7 linked regions of the Macaca mulatta genome follow. The protein of the gene in region 1 interacts with the protein of each later gene in a pairwise test. Links are inferred from orthologs where the notes say so. Each region holds a gene or a part of one and is shown in the gene's direction. Other genes may lie near its edges.

Region 1 (3,500 bases):
AACAGCTTAAATGCTTGTCCACAATAAATAGTCAGTGCAGTGTGGCCCGTCCACACAGTGGAATGTGGATGGGTGAGGCTCTGACCCAGGCCCCAGTGCAGATGCACCATGAGGACATCACGCTCAGGGAGAGACGCCAGACACAAAAGGACACACAGCGTGTGATCCCATTTCTTTCTTTCTTTCTTTTTGAGACCGAGTGTCTCTCTGTTGCCCAGGCTGGAGTGCAGTGGTGCAATCTTGGCTCACCGCAACCTCTGACTCTCTGGTTCAAGTGATTCTCCTGCCTCAGCCTCCCGAGTAGCTGGGACTACAGACGCGCGCCACCACGCCTGGCTAATTTTTCTATTTTTAGTAGAGACGGGTTTCACCGTGTTGGCCAGGATGGTCTCGATCTCCTGATCTCGCGATCCACCTGCCTCGGCCTCCCAAAGTGCTGGGAGTATAGGCACGAGCCACCGCGCCTGGCCTTATATTTTTAAAGCATAAGCTTTGTGGCCTGTAAATTATATCTCAGTAAAACTGTTTAAGGAAACACGCTGGTACCAGTCTTCCCCCAACACCCTCCTGAATTGGGATCTCGGGGGTGGGAGCGGGTTTCTGTCTTCAGAGCTCTCAGTTGGTTCTAGGATAGCAGCCGGGCTTTTTACTGTCCTGCCAGCTGGGACCCATGCCTTAGATAGAAGCCACATTGCTATGAAATTAGAAGGTATCAGGAGTTTTCTAAAATTCAGGCCTCCGCTTGGGCTCTTTCCAAAAGAAATGGCAAAAGGGACAGTTTCGATCCCTGGGCCGATGGGCTGTATTAACAGTTCTGTTCCCAGGGGTCACCATCCAGGCAGCGAGAGCCACCATCCATCGCCAGGCCAGGCCCTGCCGGCCCCACCTCCATCCCCCTTAGTGGGTGTAGAGATGACCGTTTGTGATTAGTGAACCCCCCACAGATGCAGACGCCTCCTGCCCACGGCTGTGTTGAGCCCTAGGTGCCCCGAAGAACCCGGTGTGAGGCCGAGAGCCCCCGCGGGTCTGTCTGGACGCCCGGGCCAGTGTTTCCCCCTCTCCCTGTAGGAAACGAGCAGATGAAAGTGGAGAACTTCGAAGCTGCCGTGCATTTCTACGGAAAAGCCATCGAGCTCAACCCAGCCAACGCCGTCTATTTCTGCAACAGGTGCCAGCTCGGGGCCTGCCCAGGGCGGGGGCGGCCGTGTGCGGGGCGCCCTCCGGGATGCTTGGCAGGGGCCTGAGATGGGAGAGGCCTCTGCGCTCTAGATAAGGGATCCGTTCACCGGCGGTCCCAGACCCAGAGCAAGCATCAGGCGGCCAGCAAGGGGGTCAGGGAGAGTCGACGCTGACGTTAAGATCAGGTGGCTCGCCCAGCACTCTGGGAGGCCACGGGGGGAAGATCACTTGAGGCTGGGAGTTGGGGACCAGCCTGGGCAACATATCAAGACCCCTGTCTCCACAGAAAACGTAAAAACTAGTCTGGGGGCCGGGCACAGTGGCTCACGCCTGTAATCCCAGCACTTTGGGAGGCCGAGGCGGGTGGATTACTTGAGATCGAGAGTTTGAGACCAGCCTGTCCAACATGGTGAAACCATGTCTTTACTAAAAATACAAAATTAGCCGGGCGTGGTGGTGTACACCTGTAATCCCAGCTACTTGAGAGGCTGAGGTATGAGAATGACTTGAACCTAGGAGGCAGAGGTTGCAGTGAGCCAAGATTGCGCCACTGCACCCCACCCTGGAGACTCTGTCTCCAAAAAAACCCGAAAAAAAAAAATTAGCTGGACGTGGTGGCGCACGCCTGTAATCCCAGCTAACTGGGAGACTGAGGCAGGAGAATCACTTGAACCCGGGAAGCGGAGCTTGCAGTGAGCTGAGATCGTGTCACTGCACTCCAGCCTGGGCAGCAGAGCAAAACCCTGTTTCAAAAATAAATACATACGTACATACATACATACATACGTACGTACATACACACATACATACAAAATCAGGTGTCACGGCGTTCCACGTGGATGTCAAGCCAAGAAAATAATCCGGTATGTGGAGGGTTGAGGTTTTTTTGAACGTGTGGTCTGGGATCTGCTTCAGGCTTGCAGAACAGTTGCAGAGGGAGTGCAGGGTCCCTGGCCGCTTGTCACGGGGTAGTTTATTCTCCACTTACGCTTCTCCGTACTTTGAAAAAGTCGTAAAGAGAAACACTAAACACGAAAATGGTGAAGACGATTCAGATGCTGTAAGCCAAGAGCTTTGAGCTTTGACATTGGTCTGAGTTCTTTTTTTACTGATACGTAAATAATTTGTCAACGAAACTTGGGTGTAAGTTCCCACACTCATTGCTCTTGTGCAGCCATGGATTGGAACAGTTTTTGCAAATAAAATTCAGAGTCGCAGTCCCAAGTGGCTGTTGGTGCCTTGAGCGCGCATCTGTCTAAGAGCATCTCAGTGGCTGCACCTCTCAGCTTTCGCCGTCAGCCCTATTTTACAGAGGGGGAACCTGAGGCCGTTCCTCCAGGAAGCGGAAGAGGAACGCAGCTCTCAGGCTCCCCTCCAGGGCTGCCTGCTGGGCTCAGAGCCGCCAGTGAGGGACCTGCCCTGCCTTTCTTCCCCAGAGCTGCTGCCTACAGCAAACTCGGCAACTATGCAGGCGCGGTGCAGGACTGTGAGCGGGCCATCTGCATCGACCCCGCCTACAGCAAGGCCTACGGCAGGATGGGGTGAGTGCCTGTCGCATGTTTCCAGTCTCTCGGGGCTCCTCCTCTCCTGCTCCTGCTTCCTCTCTTGTGTGGCTTTTTCCCCCACCCACAACCGATTCTCCCCCCACAGTTCAGTTCAGCTCTGACACTAGCCGTTCGGAGCCAACGTAGCCCCTACAGGTCGCAGGCTCAGCCCCACAGACGCCCTGCATCACGTGCCACTCGGAGATCCCCGGGCCCCTTGCTTCTCCCGACTGGCTGTCCACTGGGGTTCCCGTGGCCCCTACTCGGGCTCCATTGTTTGCTGGGGCGGCTCACAGAGCTCAGGGAAGCACCTGGTTTATGATGAAGGACACAGGAGGGGTCTGAGGGCGAGGCCAGGAGGGTCCCCGGGGCAGGAGCCTGTGCCCCGTGCCGCTGGTGCCACCCTCCCAGCATGAGAAGCAGTTCATTCGCCTGCTTCTGTGAACGCCCTTGCTTAAAGTTCGTGGGACTGGGTCTCCCCGGAGGCTGGGGAGGATCCTGTTCACCTGCCCAGTCTCCCCAGGACCTGCCTCCTTCTGGGCTCTCTAGGGGCCCCAAGTCATCTCAGTAGTGAAGACTCAGGTGGGAGTCAGGGGCTGCTTGTGGACGACAGGAGACACGTCTGTCACTGAGTTCCCAGGGTCCTCGATGCCCTGTGCCAGAAAGCGGGGCCAAGACCACATCCACGCGTTTCCTGTGACCCTGAGCCGGCCCGCTCCCTCCTCTCAGCCCGCTCTGGGCTTTGAGGCCTCGTGTGCGGCCCCATGGGGACGCCAG
Region 2 (4,091 bases), on another chromosome or scaffold:
TGCGGCCGAGCGCGGTGGCTCACGCCTGTCCCAGCACTTTGGGAGGCCAAGACGGGGGCGGATCACCTGAGGTACGGAGTTCGAGACCAGCCTGACCAACAGGAAGAAACCCTGTCTCTACTAAAAATACAAAATTAGCAGGGCGTGGTGGCCCATGCGTATAACCCCAGCTACTCGGCAGGCTGAGGCAGTACTAATCGCTTGAACCCGGGGGGCGGTGGTTGCAGTGAGCCGAGATCGCGCCATCGCACTCCAGCCTGGGCAACAAGAGCGGAACTCCGTCTCAAAAAAGAAAAAAGAAAAAATTTTAATTGCAAAAATCCGAATAAGTTCTTGAAAGCTGGACTTTTCCCCTTTTTTGTGCCCTAAGCCTGCGCTGAATCTGTGCCTTCTTTGAAATGCTTTCCCGCCTTCTTTCTCGGGGTCCCACGCTACCTGGGGCTGCACTCTTCAAGCACTGGATGTTGACTAACTCGTCTCCTTATCTGTCTTCCCGAATGGCCCAGAGCTGAGTTCTTACTAATCCCGCTAACCTGTAGTTCGGTGCGCGCTGCAAAGCAGTAACAAATCCAATCAGCCCGGGAGGCAGACAGCAAGGACCGAAGAACAAGGCTGGAAAGGGAAACGTCGCACCGGCTCTGCCCAGCGGCGCCAGCCCGGGCAACCTTACACAGACGCGAAGCCACACCCCTTTCCCCAAGTACCTCCCCGCTAACTCCTCCCCCTGGCCCAGCGTCTCACACGGATTGTCTAAGTCCCCGCCCACCAGGCGTGGCCCCGCTCTGGGAGGACCGCAATCCCGCCAACAATGACTCCGCCCCTCCTTCCGCTGAGAAACCTGTCCCTTTTATTTAAAGAATACCTTTTACGTCAGCCCGCCTTACGTAGCTTTGCGTCATCAGTGCAAGGCGCGGAGGCGGGACTTCCTGTCCCTGGCATAACAGCTTCCGGGAGAAGCCGGAAGAGACCGGACCCTGAACAGAATCGCAGATTGCCAGCCCTTTTCCCGACCCCTACGGAAAGACGAGTCCAGGGGCCGTCCTGGCGAGGTCAAAACATTTAGTCTGGCCTTTTCAGGTGAGGACTTCCCCATCCAGGCACAGTGCTGGTCAAATCCCCCTTTAATTTCCCATGACTCCCCGCGTCCTCAAGCCCCGCCCCCAGTTCCCCAGCCCCGCCCCGAAGTTTGAGGGGTGTGGACGGTTTGTGACCCCCTTAGCCGACCCTACCCCTCACGGGCCGGGAGAGCTGGGCTTATCACGGAGGCCAGGGCCAGGCAGCCCTTCGGTTCAGGTGGGCCCATGGACCCCAGTCCAACGCCGCGGGAATAGGACCATCCAAACGCGAAACCTGCGCCTCAGAAAAAGGGTGCGGGACCCCTCCTCACCGTGCGGTCACGGTACGGACAGGGTAGATCACAGGCTGAGGGACAGAGTAAAGACCTCTGAGGCCGGTCACCTGGGGTCCTGCTGGACCCCTCCCCACGAGAGTTCCCTGTGTCTGTGCCAGCCGTTTTCGTCTTTCTTCGCCGCAGTTTCTTTTTCTGTAAATCATGGTTAATGACATTAACCTTCTTGCCATCAGGGATTAGTTGTGGGTGTGATAAATAATTGCTACCATTTATTGAGCAATTGCAGTTTGCACTGTGCCAGGCACTGTGCTAAGTATTTTGCTTCGATGATTTCACGTCATCTTCAAAACAACCTCATGAGGTAGGTACTGTTTTTAACCCCATTTTACTGATGAGAAAGCTGAGGCTCTGAGAAAGTTGTCTGAGGTGATATAGCTAGTAAGACGCGAGACTGGGGTTATAATTAGTTGTTGTTTTTCTAACTCCAGGGCCAGTATATTAAAAAGGATGTTGATGTGTTCCACAGATATTCTTTGAGCAACTACTGGGGCATTATATTGGACACTTCAGTACCAAGAGAAATACATACGATCCTTGTCTACCAGGAGTCTAATAGAGAGATGGAGAGGTAGATAAGTATAATGAAGTTTTATAGGTGCTGTGAGAATAGTCTGATAATGATAATCACCAGACTGGATTTGCCCAGGGACAGCTGTGAAAGCAGCAGATTCTCCAAAGGACATAGTAGGTACTCCAGGGATCAAGCAGGGACCCTTCCTGCCTTTCTAAGAAACTGCAGCAGCAGAACCTTCACAGTGAAAGAAGAGAGACTGAGATATGGATTGTGAGAGTTGTTATGGAATCTTTTTCAAATCACTTCCACGTGGGGAGTGGTCATTGCAGGAGTGGGCCCATGGTGACCCAGGAGGGTGGTGCTTCTGGTGTCTGTCCCATGTTGCTCCCCAGGGCTTGCCAGAAGTTTCAGAGGTGGCATATAATGTCTGCTGCATAGTGTCTGCTCGTGACCCCTACAGAGTTGCCCGTTTGAGGTTGTCTGACTCTGCTTTTGATGGTAGGTCAGTTTTCTTTGACTCTTGACATCTGGCAGCCTGGATCTGTGACCAGGAATGAAATAGGCTGAAATGAGACAATCCGGCAGGGATGGCTAAACAGTGCCTCTAAGCGGGCCCCGCAGTAAAATATTCCAGACTTTTGGGTCTCTCTGAAGCCACTTTGGAGGCTGCTTAGGAGACATATTTGCTTGACCAAGTGATAGGAATCCTAGAGAAACTCAGGCCTCAGCAAAGGTTTTTCCTCATTCGCCAAAAAAGCAACAACAGTAGCAGCAGCAGCAGCAAGGCTGTGGGCTTTTCCTGCTGATCCACGCTCATTGGGAAGTTGGAGTGTGAGAGAGGAAGGTCACAGAACCTGAAAGCAAGAGTTTCACAATAGAGGCAAAGGGTACGATAGGTCTTTAGCTTTACGTTGGGGTGCCAGAATTAGGAAGGTTTGTGCCCCCTTCTACAGAACACTGAACTCCTTTTGTTTTTCAGGGCTGGGTCAGTTAGAACCTAAACAAACTAGAGACCTGGTTGCAACCCCTCAGGCTCTGCTGATGCTGTCCCCCTTTGTTCCTGCAGCGTGGACCCTGCCGGCAGCCAGGCCATGGAGCTCTCTGATGTCACCCTCATTGAGGGTGTGGGTAATGAGGTGATGGTGGTGACAGGTGTGGTGGTGCTGATTCTAGCCTTGGTCCTAGCTTGGCTCTCTACCTACGTAGCAGACAGCGGTAGCAACCAGCTCCTGGGCGCCATTGTGTCAGCAGGTGACACATCCGTCCTCCACCTGGGGCATGTGGACCACCTGGTGGCAGGCCAAGGCAACCCCGAGCCAACTGAACTCCCCCATCCATCAGAGGGTAATGATGAGAAGGCTGAAGAGGCTGGTGAAGGTCGGGGAGACTCCACAGGGGAAGCTGGAGCTGGGGGTGGTATTGAACCCAGCCTTGAGCATCTCCTTGACATCCAAGGCCTGCCCAAAAGACAAGCAGGTGCAGACAGCAGCAGTCCAGAGGCCCCCCTGAGATCTGAGGATAGCACCTGCCTCCCTCCCAGCCCTGGCCTCATCACTGTACGGCTCAAATTCCTCAATGATACCGAGGAGCTGGCTGTGGCTAGGCCAGAGGATACCGTGGGTGCCCTGAAGAGGTGAGTGGCCTGGGAAGTGGGAAGCTGCTTGTGCTCATCCCCCAGCCCTTGGTTGCCTCTAAGGAGGCTGGTGCAGACGTAGGAGCTGCAGGGAAGTATAAGATCCAGCCCCTACTAAGGGCACGTAGATACTTTCTTAGAAATACACCCCTCAGGCCGGGCGCGGTGGCTCCCAGCACTTTGGGAGGCCAAGGTGGGTGCATCACAAGGTCAGGAGTTTGAGACCAGCCTGACCAATATGGTGAAACCCCATCTCTACTAATAGTAAAAAAATTAGCTGGGTGTGGTGGCACACACCTGTAATCCCAGCTACTCAGGAGGCTAAGGCAGGAGAATTGCTTGAACCTGGGAGGCAGAGGTTGTAGTGAGCTGAGATTGCGCCATTGCACACCAGCCTGGGTGACAGAGTGAGACTCAGTCTCAAAAAAACAAAACAAAACAAATACACTCTTCATTAGTTAAGGATAAAGATGAGGGAGGCTGGGCACGGTGGCTCACGCCTGTAATCCCAGCACTTTGGGCAGATCACAAGG
Region 3 (3,814 bases), on another chromosome or scaffold:
AATAATGTCAGGCTAACTTACCAGAAATTTATAGTTAAAGAGAAAATCTGGCTTTCCTGGATCTCTGATCTAGCTCAGTGGGAAAAGGCAGCCTGTTCGTATAGCAACCCCACTCCAGCCTTGCTGCTCTAAGGCACATCCAGTAAGATACCTCAGGGGTCACCTGCTTGCTTTCCCATCTGTTTGGCAGTGAAGTAGGAGATTACAAGCCTTGTCCTGTAGCAGGGAGAGGGATTTTCATGGGGAGAAAGTCCTCTGGTCTCCTAGAAGCATTTAGGGTTAACCTGAGGTAGGGTTTCCTAAGATTTCTTAATGATAAATCACCTGAGGTCCTTCCCTTGGATATTTGATTCTGTTGATCTGAATTGGGAGCTCACATTTTGTCCTTTAAAAAAGTGGCCCACATGATTTCTTTGTCAAGGGAAGTTTAGGGAGCTCTGCCTTGGGGCAAGATGGCAGCTCTCTCAATTCTGCAAAAGGGAACTAATATAATATTTAACTACTGCAGAGAGCATCTGCTTGGATAAAATCTGTCTAGGAAGGAAAGAAGGCTACAGTTATTATTCGGTGGAGGAGGAAACTCATGGGGCTGTTTGGAAGTTTTGCAGTCATGAATGAGATAATGTTATTGAAAATTAAACTGTCTTCTCTACATCAACTTGTGTTTGGTTGGAAAACAGCAGGCTCCAAAACACAGCTGGTTGTTTCACCTTGGAGACCAGGAACTGTGTGGCCACCATGGAGGGAGGGTCCGAAGCATGTGTCCCAGTGAGCCAGGTCATACCTGATGCTTATTCAACCCCTGGCAGTGATGCAGTGCATAGAAAGGTTTCCTACGATGTTGTTCCTCTCCCAAGGCTAGAATTACTCCCCAAATGCAGAAAGCAAAAGGCGTATGGGGTTGGCCAGAAAAGAACAGGATCTTAGGGCTTTGTGAGAACTATTATTGAAGTTTAAGTATCATCACAGCTAGGGGTTCGTGAAGTAGATAGGAATACACATGCGGTCAAGAAATAGGTGTCTGTCTATTCCTAATGAGCTGAACCACTGGGAAAATCAGGTTAGACTCCTGTGCATGTGTGGATATATCAAGGGCCCTGTTCACTGCTGGAGACCCTTGAGGGAGCTCTGCCATTTCTACAAATCTGTGTTGGGGAGGACAAAAACAGGGTCTTATGGCAGCATCTTAAATTGCTACAGAAGAGTACCTCCTGGGGCCAAGGCAGGAAGATCACTTGAGTCCAAGAGTTTGAGACCAGCCTGGTCAACATAATGAGACCCTATCTCTACAAAAAATTTTAAAAATTAGCTGAGCATTGTGATGTGTGCCTGTAGTCCTGGCTACTGGAGAGGATGAAGTGGGAGGATCGCTTGACCCAGGAGGTTGAGGCTGCAGTGAGCTATGATTGTGCCACTACATTCCAGCTGGGTGACAGAGTGAGACCCACGCTCTAAGAAAAAAAAAAAAAAAAAAAGAAAAGAAAAGAAAAGAAAAAGAAAGATGGACTCAATAAGTTAATTTTTGAATGTGTGAATGAATGAATGTGAATTAGAGAGACAGCTTGTCATTGACTTGCAAAACAGAGACCTCCACTTGTTGACAATACATGAGAAAACTTCAGGCTTCATTTCTCAGACCTTTATTCTTCTAAACAAGGTCCAGCCCTCTGTGTGTTACACCCTGTTAAGCACAAGCCCTGAGTTCTTCTATAACTAATTTGGACCTGTGATTCCTTGGCTCTCACAATCCTCTCCACTCTAAGAAGCTGGGTGAGGCCACAAGGAGCAATGGAGCAAGGCAGCGGCCGCTTGGAGGACTTCCCTGTCAATGTGTTTTCCGTCACTCCTTACACACCCAGCACCGCTGACATCCAGGTGTCCGATGACGACAAGGCTGGGGCCACCTTGCTCTTCTCAGGCATCTTTCTGGGGCTGGTGGGGATCACATTCACTGTCATGGGCTGGATCAAATACCAAGGTGTCTCCCACTTTGAATGGACCCAGCTCCTTGGGCCTGTCCTACTGTCGGTTGGGGTGACATTCATCCTGATATCTGTGTGCAAGTTCAAAATGCTCTCCTGCCAGTTGTGCAAAGAAAGTGAGGAAAGGGTCCCGGACTTGGAACAGACACCAGGAGGACCATCATTTGTTTTCACTGGCATCAACCAACCCATCACCTTCCATGGGGCCACTGTGGTGCAGTACATCCCTCCTCCTTATGGTTCTCCAGAGCCTATGGGGATAAATACCAGCTACCTGCAGTCTGTGGTGAGCCCCTGTGGCCTCATAACCCCTGGAGGGGCAGCAACTGCCGTGCCGAGTCCTCCTCAATACTACACCATCTACCCTCAAGATAACTCTGCATTTGTGGTTGATGAAGGCTGCCCTTCTTTCGCGGATGGTGGAAACCACAGGTATGGCGTGTCTACTGGGGGAATGCACTCCTTCTAGCCATCTCCATCGTGATCTGTGGCTGTTTGGTCCATGAATAAGGTGTTGGGAGACTGCGAATCTCTGCTTAGCCTGTTGCCCACGATGGCAGCCTTGGTTCTGTGAATGGTGCTTTGGACCATAATGTACCTGTGTTTTCTGCTCACATTTCAGGCCCAGTCCTGATGCTGACCAGGTAGAAGAGACACAGCTGGAAGAGGAGGCCTGTGCCTGCTTCTCTCCTCCACCTTACGAAGAAATATACTCTCTCCCTCGCTAGAGACTATTCTGATATAATAATACAATGCTCAGCTCAGGGAGCAAGCGTTTCCGTCATTGTTACCTGACAACCGTGGTGTTCTATGTTGCGACCTTCAGAAGCAACAGCAGTGCCCAGGCAGCCTGACAGAGATCATTCAAAGGGGGAAAGGGGAAGTGGGAGCAATGTCTCAGACTGGTAAAAATTAGACTGGCCCGAGGCAATTTTCCTCTGGAACAGTTTCAGATTCCCTCGGGTAAGAAATCTCCTGTGTAAGGCTCAGGAGCAGGAATTTCACTTTTTCATCCCCCACCTTCCCCCTTCCCTGTAGGAAGGCATTGGTGGCTCAATTTTAACCCCAGCAGCCAATGAAAAAATCATGACTTCTGAGACTTTGGGAGTTTCCACAGAGGTGAGAGTTGGTGGGAAGGAAGCAGGGAAGAGAAAGCAGGCCCAGCTGGAGACTTCCCGGTGGCTGTCCTTGGCCCCAAAGCAGACTCACTAATCCCAAACAACTCAGCTGCCATCTGGCCTCTCTGAGGACTCTGGGTACCTTAAAGGCTATAAAACAAAACAAAACAAAAACATCAAACCAATGAAATAACATAAAGCATGTCTCCTGCTAGAATAGTATTGGATACCTGGCTAAATTACACAAAATAGACCGTAATAGGATAACACTGTGTATAAATCCTTCCCTGATCACTGAGTCACAGTGACCCCTGGCTGCTGCTATTCTCTTCTGCAAGGTTGAAGCTTGACTTGTGATGTACCTGGGTGGGCTCTTGGTCCACCCCGGGCTGGGGCCTGCACCAGGCATGAATTAACTGGGCCCAGCGGCTGACAGAACACAGGACTTTCCTAAGTACCCGTAGGTCTGTGGAGCAAGACAGAGCAGAGTTGCCATGTCAACACATGGGGAATGATATGATAGAAACAATCTTTATGACTAAAAGAAACTCATCTTCTTCATTAAAATCTTTGGTGTCCTTAATCTCTCTGAATTTGGCTGTGTAATAAACAACTGGAACTGACTCACAGACTTCAGAAGAGACAGTTTAAAACCATTAGGTTTTAAAAGAAAATATTTGCTTTAGGCTTCAAAGGCAATGCCACTCAAGGTAA
Region 4 (3,500 bases), on another chromosome or scaffold:
AAAAAAAAAAAATTAGCCGGGCGTAAAGATGCATGCCTATAGTCCCAGCTACTCGGAAGGCTGAGGTGGGAGGATCACTTGAGCCCGGGAGGCAGAGGTTACGGTGAGTTGTGATCGCGCCACTGCACTCCAATCTGGGCGACAGAGCCAGACCCTGTCTCAAAAAATAAAAATAAATAAAAATTTAAAAATATTAAAAAAAAAAAAGAAAGAAGATGCAGATCTGAACTAACGCAGGTACAGTGTGGGTTGTGAACAGGGGTGGACTGTCAAGATGTTTCAGTGTAGAACTGTGAAATTGGATGTGAGGTGGAAAGGGAGGGCTTAGGTTAGCTAGGTGGTGGCAGCGGTGCCTTCCCCTGAATTGGGAAAACACTAGCAAAGAACCAGTTTGCAGGGCAGCGTGTTGAATGTTTGGTCCCAGAGGGAGTGGCCAGTAGGCAGTCAGACATACAGGCTTGGAGCTCTGGGATGTCAAGTCAGGAGTTACACACTAAGGACTCATTGCTGAAGCGGGGTGTCAGTGGTGGTGAGAGAGTTGTGACTATGTGTACAGTGAGAAGAGCAGAGAACCTGAAATGGTGCTAGGGAGACCACCGACTTTAGGATCAGGGAAGAGCCAGGGAGGGAGAATGGGAAGGAGTGGCCAGAGAGTTTGGAGGGGACCCAGGAGGATGGTAATAGCTGCAGAGGTTTGATGCACGGCACACATTGAGGAAAGAGGATACTTTCAGGATGAAAATGGCTTTTATAGCTTGTAGATTGACAGCACTGGTCTCCTGCCTCCAGACTGGGCAGGGGCAGTCATCAGTGCCTAGGCAGAAGTGGGCAAGTGGGCAGGGTCTTCATGTGCCCCTCTCTGGGGTCAGGGCTGAGGACCTCCCTCCCTGTGCCTTCCTCTGCTTCCCCCTCTCCCTGTGTCTTCCCGTCTCTCCAGTCACCTCACTGCCCTGTCCCTGTTCTTTCCCCTAGCTTGGATCAGAGAGGAGGGCCGCTGCTCCAGCAGTGAGGATGACACCGACGTGGACGTGGAGGGTCTGCGGAGACGGCGGGGCCGGGAGGCCGGCGCACCTCAGCCCGTGGCGCCCCTGGCTGTGGAGACCCAGGCCGGGGGGGAGGGTGCAGGCGGGGAGCTGGGCATCTCCCTCAACATGTGCCTCCTCGGGGCCCTGGTTCTGCTGGGCCTGGGGGTCCTCCTCTTCTCGGGTGAGTGGTACCTCTGAGGCTGGGGCTTTGGGCTTCCGCACCTGCCTGCCCTCCTGCCATGTTCTCACCTTATTTCACCTCACCCCTCCCTGAGGGCCTCATCAGACTCCTCTGTCTCTATCCTTAGGTGGCCTCTCAGAGTCTGAGACTGGTGAGTAGGGAGGGGCCTGGCCTGTGCTGGGAGGTTTTGTGTGTTCTTTGGTTCTCTGGGTCAGGAGTAGGGGTGATGGGGGCTCACATTTATTTCTCAGTTAGTGGCCTTGTCAGCTGTTCAGGGTGCCCCTTGGCTCTTTACCTCACCAGACCTCTCAGCCACAGGATGGGTCCTGAACAGGAGTGGTGACTGTGTGAATGGGAGGGTGTGGGGAGAATGGGCTCTGTGTGCCTCAGGACCAGTTTCAGGACTTCCCTTTCCCACAGGGCCCATGGAGGAAGTGGAGCTGCAGGTCCTCCCGGACACTGGGTCAGACCCTGAGCTGCTGGATGCTGTGGGGGACAGGCAGGTATGTGTGACTATCTCCAGAGGCAGGTGGGGCCTGGCTGGGGAGAACCTGGGCTGTGGGGTAGCATGGCATAACAGGCTCTTCTGCCCTCAGGATGGGCTAAGGGAACAGCTGCAGTCCTCAGTGCCTCCTGACCATGTCCCCAGCCTGCAGAACATGGGTCTTCTGCTGGACAAGCTGGCCAAGGAGAACCAGGACATCCGGCTACTGCAGGCCCAGCTGCAGGTGGGCATAGGCAGGAGGGGCTGGGCTAGGGTAACCCACCTAGGCCAGGTGTCTGTCCTAGCATTCTCCCCCAAAAGGAATGTTTCCTATTTACCCACACATCCTGACCCTCCCCTCTCCCACTATAGTCAGGGCATTTTCCCAGTTCTGGGTTCACATCCCTTGTGCTAAGGTTTGGTCCAGGGCTGGCATACCTGTTCCACATGGTACGTGAAACATACATGGTATCACCTGTGATTGACTGGTGTAGTCTGCCTGGAGCACTGTGTGGAAAAGGATTTAAAGAACATGCCAAGTGCCATGATCAGTTAACACTGTTCCAGGTATAGGAAGTGGAAACAAAACCGTGAGAGCCACACATTGGCTATCCTTAGGTGAATCTAGGAAGTGTGTGCTTATATAAAGACATATATACATATATATGTGCCGAGACCCAAGATGGAATTTGGGGATCCCTGTGTCTCATTCATGATGGAGATGGGGTAGAGGATGAAAACCAAATCCTCTGGGTGTTCCAGGCCATAAAAGGGGCTCAGGCTACTGCCCGCTATAATGGAATGGAATTGGGGTAGAAAGCATTGGGGCTATCCTGACAAGAACTCTTTGTGACTTCCTTCATCCCAAACCATATTCCAGGCCCAGAAGGAAGAGCTTCAGAGCCTGATGCACCAGCCCAAAGGGCTAGAGGAGGAGAACGCCCAGCTCCGGGGCGCTCTGCAGCAGGGCGAAGCCTTCCAGCGGGCTCTGGAGTCAGAGCTGCAGCAGCTGCGGGCCCGGCTCCAGGGGCTGGAGGCCGACTGTGTCCGGGGCATGGATGGAGTGTGCCTCAGTGGGGGTAGAGGCCCACAGGGTGACAAGGCCATCAAGGAGCAAGGCCCCAGGGAGCAGGAGCCAGAACTCAGCTTCCTGAAGCAGAAGGAACAGCTGGAGGCTGAGGCACAGGCATTAAGGCAAGAGTTGGAGAGGCAGCGACGGCTGCTGGGGTCTGTACAGCAGGACCTGGAGAGGAGCTTGAAGGATGCCGGCCATGGGGACCCAGCTCACGCTGGCTTGGCTGAGCTGGGTCACAGATTGGCCCAGAAACTGCAGAGCCTGGAGAACTGGGGCCAGGACCCTGGGGTCTCTGCCAATGCCTCAGAGGCCTGGCACCAGAAGCCCCACTTCCAGAATTCCAGGGAGTGGAGTGGAAAGGAAAAGTGGTGGGATGGGCAGAGGGACCGGAAAGCTGAGCACTGGAACCATAAGAAGGAAGAATCTGGCCGGGAACGGAAGAAGAATAGGGGAGGTCAGGAGGACAGGGAGCTGGCAGAAAGGTGGAAGGAGGGCAGGCCAAGGGTGGAGTGGGGGAGCAAGAAGGAGGGCAAGCGACAGGGCCTGAAGGAACCCCCAAGGAAAAGTGGTAGCTTCCACTCCTCTGGAGAAAAGCAGAAGCAACCTCGGTGGAGGGAAGGGGCTAAGGACAGCCATGACCCCCTGCCATCCTGGGCAGAGCTGTTGAGGCCCAAGTACCGGGCACCCCAGGGCTGCTCAGGTGTGGCTGAGTGTGCCCGGCAGGAGGGCCTGACT
Region 5 (4,009 bases), about 43 Mb from region 1:
GTCAGATACGGTTTCACTTCCTCTGGGAGGGAGGTGCTGTTATTAAGCCCATTTTACAGATAAAGAAACTGAGACACAGGGAGGTAAAGTCACTTTGTTCAAGATCACTCAAGTGGAAGATGGGGGGTTCTGGGTTTCCAACCCAGGCCATCTCATGACAGTCTGCCAAGTCCCCTTGACTATCCCTCCCTTACCAACTTCACATCCCTGCCCCCAAATCCGCGGAGGTACTCACTGTTAACCGGCTTGGAAGCCCCCTGCAAAGCACTTAAGCTGCTCCTGGGTGCTTCTTATTTCTGGCGGACCCCGAGCCTGTTCTTCGTCCATATCTGGGCCTCGTTACACCAGTCTGGGAAAGGAGGCTTGTACTGGGGGTTCCTAGAAGGGCAGCCTCTCCCCCTTTCCATCCCGAAGTCCCTCTGCCTCTGTCTTCCCAGGACTGGGGAACCCGATGAAGAGGAGGGAACTTTCCGCAGCTCCATCCGCCGTGAGTCTGGGGAGACTGCGGGTATTTTGGGGAGAGGGCTGGTTCCAAGGACCCCTTTTCCTGGCCCTCCCCGGCTGCGTAGAGGGAGGGGCTGGATCTGAAAGCAGAGGGCGGGGAGTTGCCCCGCCTGCCCAGGAGCTGGGGATGCCCCTCCTGATGACCCCCGATCTCCGTGTTCCCCCCAGGTCTGTCCACCCGCAGGCGGTAGAAACACCTGGCGCGATGGAATCCGGCCAGGTGCTGCAGCTCTGACACGGCGGTGGAAGGGAAGGAGGGAGGAAGGAAAGGCGGGAGAGGGAAGGGGCCAAGTGCCAGGGTTGGAGGGCGGCGAGGGGTGGTGCTGGACTTCCCCCCTCGCCTTTCACTCACCCTTTTCACCCCACAGGACTCCCCTGGCACCTGACGTCTCCCACGCTCCACCTGCGCGCCCACCGCCCCCTCCGCCGCCCCTTCCCCAGCCCTGCCCCGGCAGACTCCCCCTGCCGCCCAGACTTCCAATAAAACGTGCGTTCCTCTCGACAGCACTTTGTCGGTCTCGGTCCCTCAGCGCGAAAGCCCAGCGCCCCTGGGCCCCAGCAGGGGGCGCCCCACCCTAGAGGAAGGGGCGGGGACGACGGTGGTGGGCGGGGGCGGGGGCGGGGGTGGCCTGCACGGGGGCGGGCTCCCCGGGCCCCCATTGGCTGCAGGCCCCCCCACGCCAGGGCTCCCCCCAGCTCCCCCCCATATCGGTCCGTCCTGCTTCCAGCTGCTGCAGCGCGCCTTCGCCGCCAAAGCATCCAGCAGCCCCCTGCTCCGGCCCAGCATGGCGACCCCGACCCAGACCCCCACAAAGGGTGAGCGTCGTCTGGGGAGGGGGTTGCAGGGGGGCTCCGGGATCTGAGAGCCTAGGAGAGAGGGTGTCGGGAGATTCCAGCAATGGTAAGGCAGGGGAGTGGGGGGAGGGAGGTCTGCTCCTTCTGTGGGCGGAGGCCCCTGTAATGCAGCCCCCCGATCGCCCCTCCGGGTCTCTGGGACACCCCCTCCCCGGCGGGTGTCCTGTGCCAGACCTGCGGTTGGAGAGTGGCAGTCCCGGGAGAAGGGATGCTCGGACAGGTCGCTATGGCAACCGGGTGGCTGGTCCCGCACCGTGGTGGTAGCAGACGGGAAGAGATGAGCTTGCAGGGTGGGAGCGGGTGGGTCTGCGGCCAGAGACGTTCTGGAAGATTTCAGGGTCCCTGGGGTGGGCAAGGGAAGGGGAGGAGGTTCATGTCCCTCTTCTTTCCAGTGCTGTCTCCTAGGGTGTGTGTTTCCTGAAACCCTTGACAGCCAGGTTCAGAGGAAAGGAGTGAGAGCTGAAGGAAGAGACAGCGAGAAGGGATATAGCAAGAGATGGACAGGGAGAACCTGGAAGAGACAGAGACCGAGAGGCAGGAGATCCAGAGTCACAGATACAAAGACCCAGGAAGACAAATAGATGGACTCAGAGAGATTCCCAGTGGAGGCGAGTGGCAAAGAACGGTAGACAGAGATGCAGAGAGAGAGAGAGAAAATGAGAGCCTGGGAGATAGCGGGAATGAGACTGCTATGGAGAGAGAAGCAGAGAGACGGAGGGAGAGAGACGGACCCATGGGGAAAGAGGGGAATAGAAAGAGAAGGAAGCAGTGTGGGGTGGGGCCCAAACCACTGCAGTGAACCCCCATGGGTGGGAATGGGGTGATGGGACCCTCCTTCCCAGCCCACAGCAGGGGTGTTTTCCAGTCCCAGAGGTGTACCTGGGTATGCACCTAACTGCCCCTACTGCCCCCATCCAGCCGCACACTGATTTCCATTCCACACCCATTAACCCAGTTATGCACCCAGTTGAACACCCACTTCCACCGTTGCCCCCTAATAGCCCCCATTGCTAAGCCTGCTTCTGCAGAGGAGCAAGGCACAGACTGCTTCAAGAGGGAGCGGGTGCCCAGCTAGGGTCTCCAGCACTGAGGGCAGGGGATGGACCAGGGGTGTTGAGAAGCCCCTGGCCGTGAAGGGAACCCCAATTCTGCTTGGATGACTCCCTCCCTTCCGTGCTTCCCAGAAGGCGGGGGCTGCTGCACTGAGCCATATCTGCAGAATCCGAAGCAGGGCGGGGGGTGGGGGGGGCTGCAGAGGCTGGAAGCCACCCTGGGGAGAGGGGGCAGGGCTGAGGCAGCAGGCCTGGCGGGAGCCCAGGGCTTCTTTTTGCAGAGGTGGTGGTTAACAGGATCGATGGCAGCAGACGGGCAGAGGTGGGAGGACAGACTCCTCAACCCCACCTCCTCTGCCTCCCCCTTTCCCAGTCACAGCATGAGAGGGGACCGCGGGTCTCGGGAAATCCCGGGGGAGGAAAAGCATGTTGTGCATTGCAAACTGCTTAAGGAAACTAATTAATGAATTGTTGGGGAGCGAGGGGGGAAGAAGGGAGATTGTCTCCCTCCGCCCTGCCAGAGAACGGGCGGGAGAATTAGGGGTGAACAGAAGAGGGATGCATGAGCACAGCTGGGTCCGGGTCCCTGTCCCTGAAATGGACCCTCAGCTTGGCCAGAAGCCAGTCCTGCAGGGGCAACAGCAGGAGGTGCAAAAGGAGGGGAGAGGGTCAAGATTGAAACCCGCATCTTACACAGGACCTCACAAGGGACCCCACCCAGCCTGGGATGCCGGGACCTATCACCTCTCTTCACCTCACGAGATGCCCCAGTTACCATAGCAACCACCTCCTTCCTGATATCTCCTTGGCAGCTGTCCAGGAGTAGTGCACATTCCTTTGCCTGACTCCTGGCCCCACCCTTAGCCCAGCCACGCCTGGGGGCCCAGGTTGCTGGGGCAGCAGGGACCAGAGGAGGATCTCCTGCATGGAACACCAGATTCTGGGACAGGTGCTCACCCAGTGGGCTCCTGATAACTTTGGGGAAGGGCAGGTGTGTGGAAAAGACTAGTGAGACAATCCACCTTTTGCAGCCTCCTGCAGCCTAGGACCGCCTCATAATCATTCCTTCATTCATTCATCCGAGAAAACTTGGAGAGCCTTTCATAAATGTCAGGATGAACAGCAGCGATGAGTCAAACAAATTTACTCACTCTCTGGTGGGGAAACTTACACAGAGCACAAGGGACCCTGAGGCAGTGTTTCACCATCTTGGTGCTTTTGAGTATTACCGTCACAATTTTCACTTTATTCAAATACTCCTCACACTGCTATTTATTTAATTTTTTTCCTTCAAATGATTAGCTTTTTTACTTTTATTTTTTGAGACAGGGTCTCGCTCTGTCACCCAGGCTGGAGTGCAATGCTGCGATCACAGCTCACTGCAGCCTCAAAGTCCTGGGCTCAATCTATCCTCCCACATCAACCTCCCGAGTAGCTGGGACTACAAGGCACTCCCCGCTACACCCAGCTAATTTTTGTATTTTTTGTAGAGACAGGTTTTGCCATGTTTCCCAGGCTGGTCTCAAACTCCTGGGCTCAAGCAATTCACCTGCCTTGGCCTCCCAAAGTGCTTAGGATTACAGGCGTGGGCCACCATG
Region 6 (3,500 bases), on another chromosome or scaffold:
AACCAGGTGGGAGGAAGTGCTGGGCCCAGGGGAGGTGTCTCTGGCTTGCCATCTGAAAGCCGGTGCATGAACGTGAACTTGAGGGCAGTTCAAAAAGTGCTTGGCTCAGTGTTGATGTTACAGAGACAGAAAAAATGGGTAGATGCAAGTCCTGCCCTCGAGTTTCCTGTGTCATTAAAATTTAGACTGGTAGGCACACCATCTGTGTCACTATTAGTTCAATGTGTAGTTAGGTTTGGCTTAATCTGGGAAGGCTTCTTGTAGGTGACATTTGGGTTGTTTTCATGGTAGAACAAGGTTGTGCTGTGGCTGCTAGAAATCCTGGGAAAGCTGGATTTGAGGGATGCTGTATCCTGAGGTAAGGGGCAGAGCCTGTAGCATTGTAGGTTTGAGGCCTTTGTTTTTCTGCTGTGAGCAGGGCATGGGGATAACTGGGGAGAGTGAGGGCTGGGGAGAAATGACACCCTCTCTGTCACAGACATGGCTGGGCTCCCTGCTGTTGTTGGTCTGTCTCCTGGCGAGCAGGAGTATCACCGAGGAGGTGTCGGAGTACTGTAGCCACATGATTGGGAGTGGACACCTGCAGTCTCTGCAGCGGCTGGTGAGTGCGTGGCCATGCTGTATTCTACCTTCTCTCCACTGGGGAAATGGAGGCAGGAGCCAGGGAGCAGGTCAAAGAGAGCAGTTGCAGGCAGGAAAATAGGGCAGTGCAGGACATTGCTTGTGGTTCCCACTAGCTCCACCAGTGATGTCCTTCACTAGCCTTCCCAAAGTTAGGACCTCTGGTCTCCCCAGCTCTGAAGCCCTCTCTGACTCCCCTGCAGGCAGTGGATGGGGTGGGCTTCCAGCTGCTTGCCTGGGTTAGTGATTGCCCAGGAATATCAACCACTAATTCTGAAAAGGCTTCTGAGGTCTGCTGTCCCTCAGTGGGATGCCTCCTCTGGGAAGCTAGCCCAGGCAGCCTGCTGTGTCCAGATGTTGCGTCTAGCTCCTGGACTCTCATGTGTGGCGCCAGTCTGGCATCAGAGCCCCACCCAGATTTGGAGGGGAAGTGCTCACTTAACTCCCAGCCTTCCACCCTCACTTCCCTGGCTCTTGCCCATACCCTGAGGCTGGGATGGCCTGCTCGTCTAGGCCATGAAGGAGCCCGTATCTCATTCTAATCAGGCCCATACGTGGTCCACCCAGGCAGAATCAGGTTGCTGTCATGGCTGCCGTCCTGCTCACTGGGAATTTACCATCCCTCTGGCCAGCTAGGCAGGGTGGGGCCTCACTGGCTAAGGCCAGCTCCAGGGCCCTGAGCTTGGGGCCTGTGGGCTATGCCTTCCACCTCTCTTGCCCTAGCGCTACTTCTCCTGCATGTAGTTGCTGTAGCAATCCAAGGTAGACCAAGAGCCCCAGCATTCTCTGAGGCTTAAAACCCAGAACTGCTGCTCTGGGGCTAAAGAGGGCTTTAAGGGCATCCAGCTCCAACGCCTACAGATGTTCAGTCCCCAGAGCTTGTCCAGCCTCTGCTTGAATTCCTGCCATGACAGGGTGCTCACTACCTCCCAGGGAAGATTATATCCTATATTCTCCTATAGACATTTCTTTCTTAAAACAAATGGGCATTTGTCAGATTTCCTGGGGTGGCAGATGGAAGGAAAAGACTTGTTCTTCTACAGCCTTCCCCTGGGCATATGGAAGGCACTGATCTTCTCCTAGACTTGACTGTCTTTCCACATGTGGTTGGCAGGGATGAAGTTCAAACCCCAATGTATTCAGAAGTTAAGGTCCCCGTTCTGAAGAAGGCTGAGTTGAGCTGTAGGTTGCCCTGCAATCATTGGCCTGCTCTCTCTTACAGATTGACAGTCAGATGGAGACCTCGTGCCAAATTACCTTTGAGTTTGTAGACCAGGAACAGTTGGTGAGTGATAGCTGTTTACAAAATCCATGTACCAGTCTGCATGCAACTCCCAGGGTGGGGTGTGTGTGGGAACATGAAGGCAGCAGAATGCCTACAGCTGGAAAGGTTGAGAGTGTGAGGATCCACGGGTGCTCAACTCTGGGGTGCCAGTATCCAGGGCTCAAGTCCCCTGCCATTCCCTTCTCCTGGCTTGATACATAACAAACGCTCACTAGGTACCAAGCACTTTGCTAATTTAGTTCTGACAGTACCACTATGTGGTACACAAATACTGTTTATTATCCACAGAGAGGTGAAAGGAGCATAGCTAGTAGGTGGTAGAGGCCTGATTTGAATCCAGGAAGGTTGGTTGTAGGGCTTGAGGCAAATCAATACTTCTTCCAGGTCACATGCTTCGCTTAAGGATGTCACTTCTTTTCACTAGGCCAACCAGCAGGCAGGGAGGCAGTCCAGCCCTTCCTGGACTTGCCCCACACCCAGCAAGCCACCAAGTGCTGCTGGTTCTGCCTCTCAGCATCTCTGGGTTCTGTCTCCTCCATCCCTACCTTCACCCCTCAATCAGTTGCTTGGACAATTTCAGGAGCCTCCTAACTGGTCTCCCTGCTTTTAGTTCACTCTTCATCTTACCACTAGGGGGAATTTTCTGAAACGCCAACCTGCTGCCTTTACCTCACTCTCCCAAAACCATCAGGGGCCCCATCACTCCAGAAGAAAGCCAAGGTTGTCTAGCCTGGGTTACACCAGGTCTAGCCATTCTCCACCACATAAACCTGTACACCGCCTCTCCATTCCCTGCTCCTTCCTGCCTCCCATCTTTGCACAAGCTCTTCCCAATGACTGTCATGCCTTTCCACCTGCTCCCCCAGTCACTATTCCACATCTGTTCATCTTTATGCCTCATGCAAAACTGCCATGGTATCCAGAAGTTGCCCCTGTCTCTGAGCTTCCACACACCAGACCCATATGCACCTCTGTTAGTACTGGAGACCACCTCATGGTCCAAAGAATAGCCTCAGTATTTTATAGCCTCACTCACTCGCTTGCTCTAGCATTCATGCCTGAACTAGCATTTGCTAGGAACCTACTGGACTAGATGCTGGGGGTAGGGAGCTAAAGCAGAGTGGGTCTTCAAGGCAACTACCATCTCTTTAGGGAGACAAAACACAGAGGTTATCCTTTGTACCATGAGATAGTCTTCACCCCCCCTATATCCTGGAGGATTTGAAGGGGCCATATGGTAAAAGATTTTTGTGAAAGGAAGCCAAGAGGAAGACAGAAAGAAAGGCAGGGGGAGGTTCCCTGGAGCCCACCTTCCCTATGTACATCCATCCTGATTAAAACCTCATATTCCAGAAACCCAGAGAACTCTCTAATCAGAATCCACATTTCCTTCACTCTAACCCAGTCTCCAATAGTGCTAGATCCCAAAGAGAGAGAAAGACAGGCAAGCTGAGGGCAGCTTTCTCCTCGTTGCTGGCATGGTGTGGTCCCTCCCCTGGGGGAAGGGGGAGAGCAAGCTGCAACCCTCCATCTGCCTGGGGTTGGGGGTTCCCAGGCCACAATGGCCAGGCTATAAGCCTCAGGTTCCTGTTTT
Region 7 (2,475 bases), on another chromosome or scaffold:
TGGGTCTTTTAAATAAATCTTTACACATTACTGAATAATTAAGTAAATATAGTTATTGACAAACAAAGAAAAAGGACCCTTTTGTTAAAATATTAGGGATACTAGAGAAAATATAAAATGAGTAAACTCTTATTTTTATTATGCCAAATTTAAAATCTCTTTCTTATCTCAACGATCTAACGATAATCAAAAAGCTCCTTTAAATATAATTCAATAAGTCATTGTTTCTGCTCTTAAATCTTACTGTAGGACAATACAAATCAATGAGGAAAATAAGCCAGATGGAAGTGTTAGGTTTTTTTCTTTGTTCAGGAACAAATACTCGATCCGCAATTTAAAAGTCCGAAGACTCCTCAGCAGAGGGTGAACTGATTGACTCTTTGGCTTATCAAGGGCAAATCGCATTTCTGAAAAGAGCTTGAAGTGGTTTTGTTTGTGGGGAGAGTTTGCTTTGTCCCCCACACTGAAAGGTATACAGCAAAGCCCGAGCATAGAAAATGTCCTGAGCTTAAATTTGTCATTTTATTGCCGTCATCACGTTTCCTCTTGGAATAAAATCCTCTATTTTATATGAGCAGGAGGTAAAGGTAGGGAAAGGAAAGTCAAGTATCTCAATTGTTAGGCTGATTGCATCCAAACAGACTTTAGAAGCAAGGGTTTGTAACGTGGCAGGAGAGCTGTTTGCGATGCCCTGGAAAGAAAAAGAAAGCCGGTTCCAACAGCGACTCTGGGGAATGCACTCTCGGCCCCCCTGCCATGCTTACTTAAGCTAATGGAAGGTCTTGCCTTTCAGCAGCCGCTGCACTGGGATACCAGACAAACAGCTCCCCTCGATCCCAGGCAGGCAGGGCCCCTCTTCAGGACATCATTAAAAGCACATGCACTTGCTCCACATCCATTGGCAGATGGTGGCAAGATTCAAGACTCCTATCCTGAAGTCAAGGAGAAGCCATCGCCGTGGAAAACATCCTCGCTTTGAAAATCCAACACGAAATTAAAGAACTACACGAGATAAGGAGCCCGGAGAACATTAGTTGGCTGCAGGGGTGAAGACAGACACAAAAAGCACAGCAGGTAAGAGCTGGGGGTTGTTGCCAACAAGGAACTGTCCCGGGTGGCGCACAGAAAAGGATCTCAGAACTGGAGGCCTGTCCCTTTGAGTCTTCCATGCGTGCTCAAGCTTGTCATCTTCCATAAGCTTCGAGAGAAGGGACGTTGTCAGAGCATTTCTTATCGGTGCGACTAATCCTGTTATCAGCTCGGTTATAAATATTTAATGTTCCCTGGCCCTTCGGTGATGGTGCCCCATCAGATTCAAGGCTGTTAAGAATCTCCACCAGCAGCCTCGCCCCTCCCTGCGGAAAACCGATGAGAGGCAGGGCCAAGCCGAAGCGATGGCGGCCTATCCAGAGAGCTGCGTGGACGCTACGGTGCTGGACTTCGTCGCAGACCTGTCCCTGGCCTCCCCGGGACGCCCTCTCCTCTGCGACTTCGCACCCGGGGTCTCCTTTGGGGATCCAGCCCTTGCGCTCCGAGAAGGAAGACCCAGGAGGATGGCGCGGTTTGAAGAGGGGGACCCAGAAGAAGAGGAGTGCGAAGTGGACCAGGGGGACGGAGAAGAGGAGGAGGAAGAGGAGCGCGGGAGAGGCGTCTCCCTATTAGGCCGCCCCAAGAGGAAAAGGGTGATCACCTACGCCCAGCGCCAGGCCGCCAACATCCGCGAAAGGAAGCGAATGTTCAACCTCAACGAGGCCTTTGACCAGCTGCGGAGGAAGGTGCCCACGTTTGCTTACGAGAAAAGGCTGTCCCGGATCGAGACCCTCCGCCTGGCCATCGTCTACATCTCCTTCATGACCGAGCTCTTGGAGAGCTGTGAGAAGAAGGAAAGCGGCTGAACCGGGTGGGGAGAGTCTGCCCTTCCTGGTCTGGTAGTGCTGGGGTGTGTCAGGACCGGGTACTGGGTGAGGCTAAAGGGCCAGGAGGGACGCCCCAAGACAGAACGTCTGGCCTTCTGGAGGTCGGTTTCGAGATTGTAAGATCCCTAAAGTCCCCGAGCAGAGTGGCTGTTGTAGAGTTCATATCTATGCGACCGCCCTAAGTGAAGTCGGGGTCAGGGGCGCGCGGGGATGTCAGAGCGCGAGAGGATGAGTCCGGGCCGTCCAGGCTGCTCCTAAGAGCTTCCGTGGGCTAGGTGGGTGGGAAGAGAACCCTCCTCGCAAATGGCAAACTTGGGAGCTTCTATAGAATCTAACCTCTCCTCTTTACTTTTTTTTTTTTTCATAGAGATAATAAAGTAGAAATTCTTACTTTTTAAAAAGCCTCAAGAGTCGGTGGTGCGCCATCCCCAGCAGGCGCTCCAGCAGGCGCCTGCGAGGAGGCTCTGGAGCAGACGCCGCGAGGGTGCGGGGATGCGAGCTTTGCTGGTAGCCAGAGGGTTCTGTCTGGTCCTCCGATGCTTGTCCAGGAACTGAGGGA

The links.
Region 2: the proteins of SGTA (region 1) and TMUB2 interact in binary tests that used the Homo sapiens proteins (3 or more experiments, as listed by UniProt). The two-hybrid records come from large-scale screens. The link is inferred for Macaca mulatta from reciprocal best matches to the Homo sapiens genes SGTA and TMUB2.
Region 3: the proteins of SGTA (region 1) and TMEM174 interact in binary tests that used the Homo sapiens proteins (3 or more experiments, as listed by UniProt). The two-hybrid records come from large-scale screens. The link is inferred for Macaca mulatta from reciprocal best matches to the Homo sapiens genes SGTA and TMEM174.
Region 4: the proteins of SGTA (region 1) and PBXIP1 interact in binary tests that used the Homo sapiens proteins (3 or more experiments, as listed by UniProt). The two-hybrid records come from large-scale screens. The link is inferred for Macaca mulatta from reciprocal best matches to the Homo sapiens genes SGTA and PBXIP1.
Region 5: the proteins of SGTA (region 1) and FXYD7 interact in binary tests that used the Homo sapiens proteins (3 or more experiments, as listed by UniProt). The two-hybrid records come from large-scale screens. The link is inferred for Macaca mulatta from reciprocal best matches to the Homo sapiens genes SGTA and FXYD7.
Region 6: the proteins of SGTA (region 1) and CSF1 interact in binary tests that used the Homo sapiens proteins (3 or more experiments, as listed by UniProt). The two-hybrid records come from large-scale screens. The link is inferred for Macaca mulatta from reciprocal best matches to the Homo sapiens genes SGTA and CSF1.
Region 7: the proteins of SGTA (region 1) and FERD3L interact in binary tests that used the Homo sapiens proteins (3 or more experiments, as listed by UniProt). The two-hybrid records come from large-scale screens. The link is inferred for Macaca mulatta from reciprocal best matches to the Homo sapiens genes SGTA and FERD3L.

Annotation. Positions count from the first base shown.
Region 1 is NC_133424.1:3,534,765-3,538,264, reverse strand, and holds part of SGTA (small glutamine-rich tetratricopeptide repeat-containing protein alpha), read left to right. Parts: intron 1-1,068; coding exon 1,069-1,168; intron 1,169-2,615; coding exon 2,616-2,720; intron 2,721-3,500. UniProt on the Homo sapiens protein: Co-chaperone that binds misfolded and hydrophobic patches-containing client proteins in the cytosol. Mediates their targeting to the endoplasmic reticulum but also regulates their sorting to the proteasome when targeting fails.
Region 2 is NC_133421.1:68,558,580-68,562,670, forward strand, and holds the start of TMUB2 (transmembrane and ubiquitin-like domain-containing protein 2), read left to right. Parts: upstream 1-1,291; 5' UTR 1,292-1,677; coding exon 1,678-1,712; exon of another isoform or gene 1,713-1,877; coding exon of another isoform or gene 1,878-1,979; exon of another isoform or gene 1,980-2,991; coding exon 2,992-3,558; exon of another isoform or gene 3,559-3,903; intron 3,904-4,091.
Region 3 is NC_133411.1:79,529,641-79,533,454, forward strand, and holds the end of TMEM174 (transmembrane protein 174), read left to right. Parts: intron 1-1,634; exon of another isoform or gene 1,635-1,766; 5' UTR 1,767-1,788; coding exon 1,789-2,414; intron 2,415-2,604; coding exon 2,605-2,710; 3' UTR 2,711-3,314; downstream 3,315-3,814. UniProt on the Homo sapiens protein: Regulator of plasma phosphate homeostasis. Decreases serum inorganic phosphate (Pi) uptake by regulating the sodium-phosphate cotransporter SLC34A1 trafficking by PTH and FGF23 in the kidney.
Region 4 is NC_133406.1:112,054,648-112,058,147, forward strand, and holds part of PBXIP1 (pre-B-cell leukemia transcription factor-interacting protein 1), read left to right. Parts: intron 1-972; coding exon 973-1,206; coding exon of another isoform or gene 1,207-1,237; intron 1,238-1,333; coding exon 1,334-1,357; intron 1,358-1,626; coding exon 1,627-1,709; intron 1,710-1,802; coding exon 1,803-1,934; intron 1,935-2,570; coding exon 2,571-3,500. UniProt on the Homo sapiens protein: Regulator of pre-B-cell leukemia transcription factors (BPXs) function. Inhibits the binding of PBX1-HOX complex to DNA and blocks the transcriptional activity of E2A-PBX1.
Region 5 is NC_133424.1:46,411,551-46,415,559, forward strand, and holds the start of FXYD7 (FXYD domain-containing ion transport regulator 7), read left to right. Parts: upstream 1-1,209; 5' UTR 1,210-1,289; coding exon 1,290-1,320; intron 1,321-4,009. Other genes in the region: FXYD1 (phospholemman), read left to right, coding at 438-487, 673-695. UniProt on the Homo sapiens protein: Associates with and regulates the activity of the sodium/potassium-transporting ATPase (NKA) which catalyzes the hydrolysis of ATP coupled with the exchange of Na(+) and K(+) ions across the plasma membrane.
Region 6 is NC_133406.1:130,284,104-130,287,603, reverse strand, and holds part of CSF1 (macrophage colony-stimulating factor 1), read left to right. Parts: intron 1-478; coding exon 479-601; intron 602-1,843; coding exon 1,844-1,906; intron 1,907-3,500. UniProt on the Homo sapiens protein: Cytokine that plays an essential role in the regulation of survival, proliferation and differentiation of hematopoietic precursor cells, especially mononuclear phagocytes, such as macrophages and monocytes.
Region 7 is NC_133408.1:109,145,727-109,148,201, forward strand, and holds FERD3L (fer3-like protein), read left to right. Parts: upstream 1-1,341; 5' UTR 1,342-1,394; coding exon 1,395-1,895; 3' UTR 1,896-1,975; downstream 1,976-2,475. UniProt on the Homo sapiens protein: Transcription factor that binds to the E-box and functions as inhibitor of transcription. DNA binding requires dimerization with an E protein. Inhibits transcription activation by ASCL1/MASH1 by sequestering E proteins.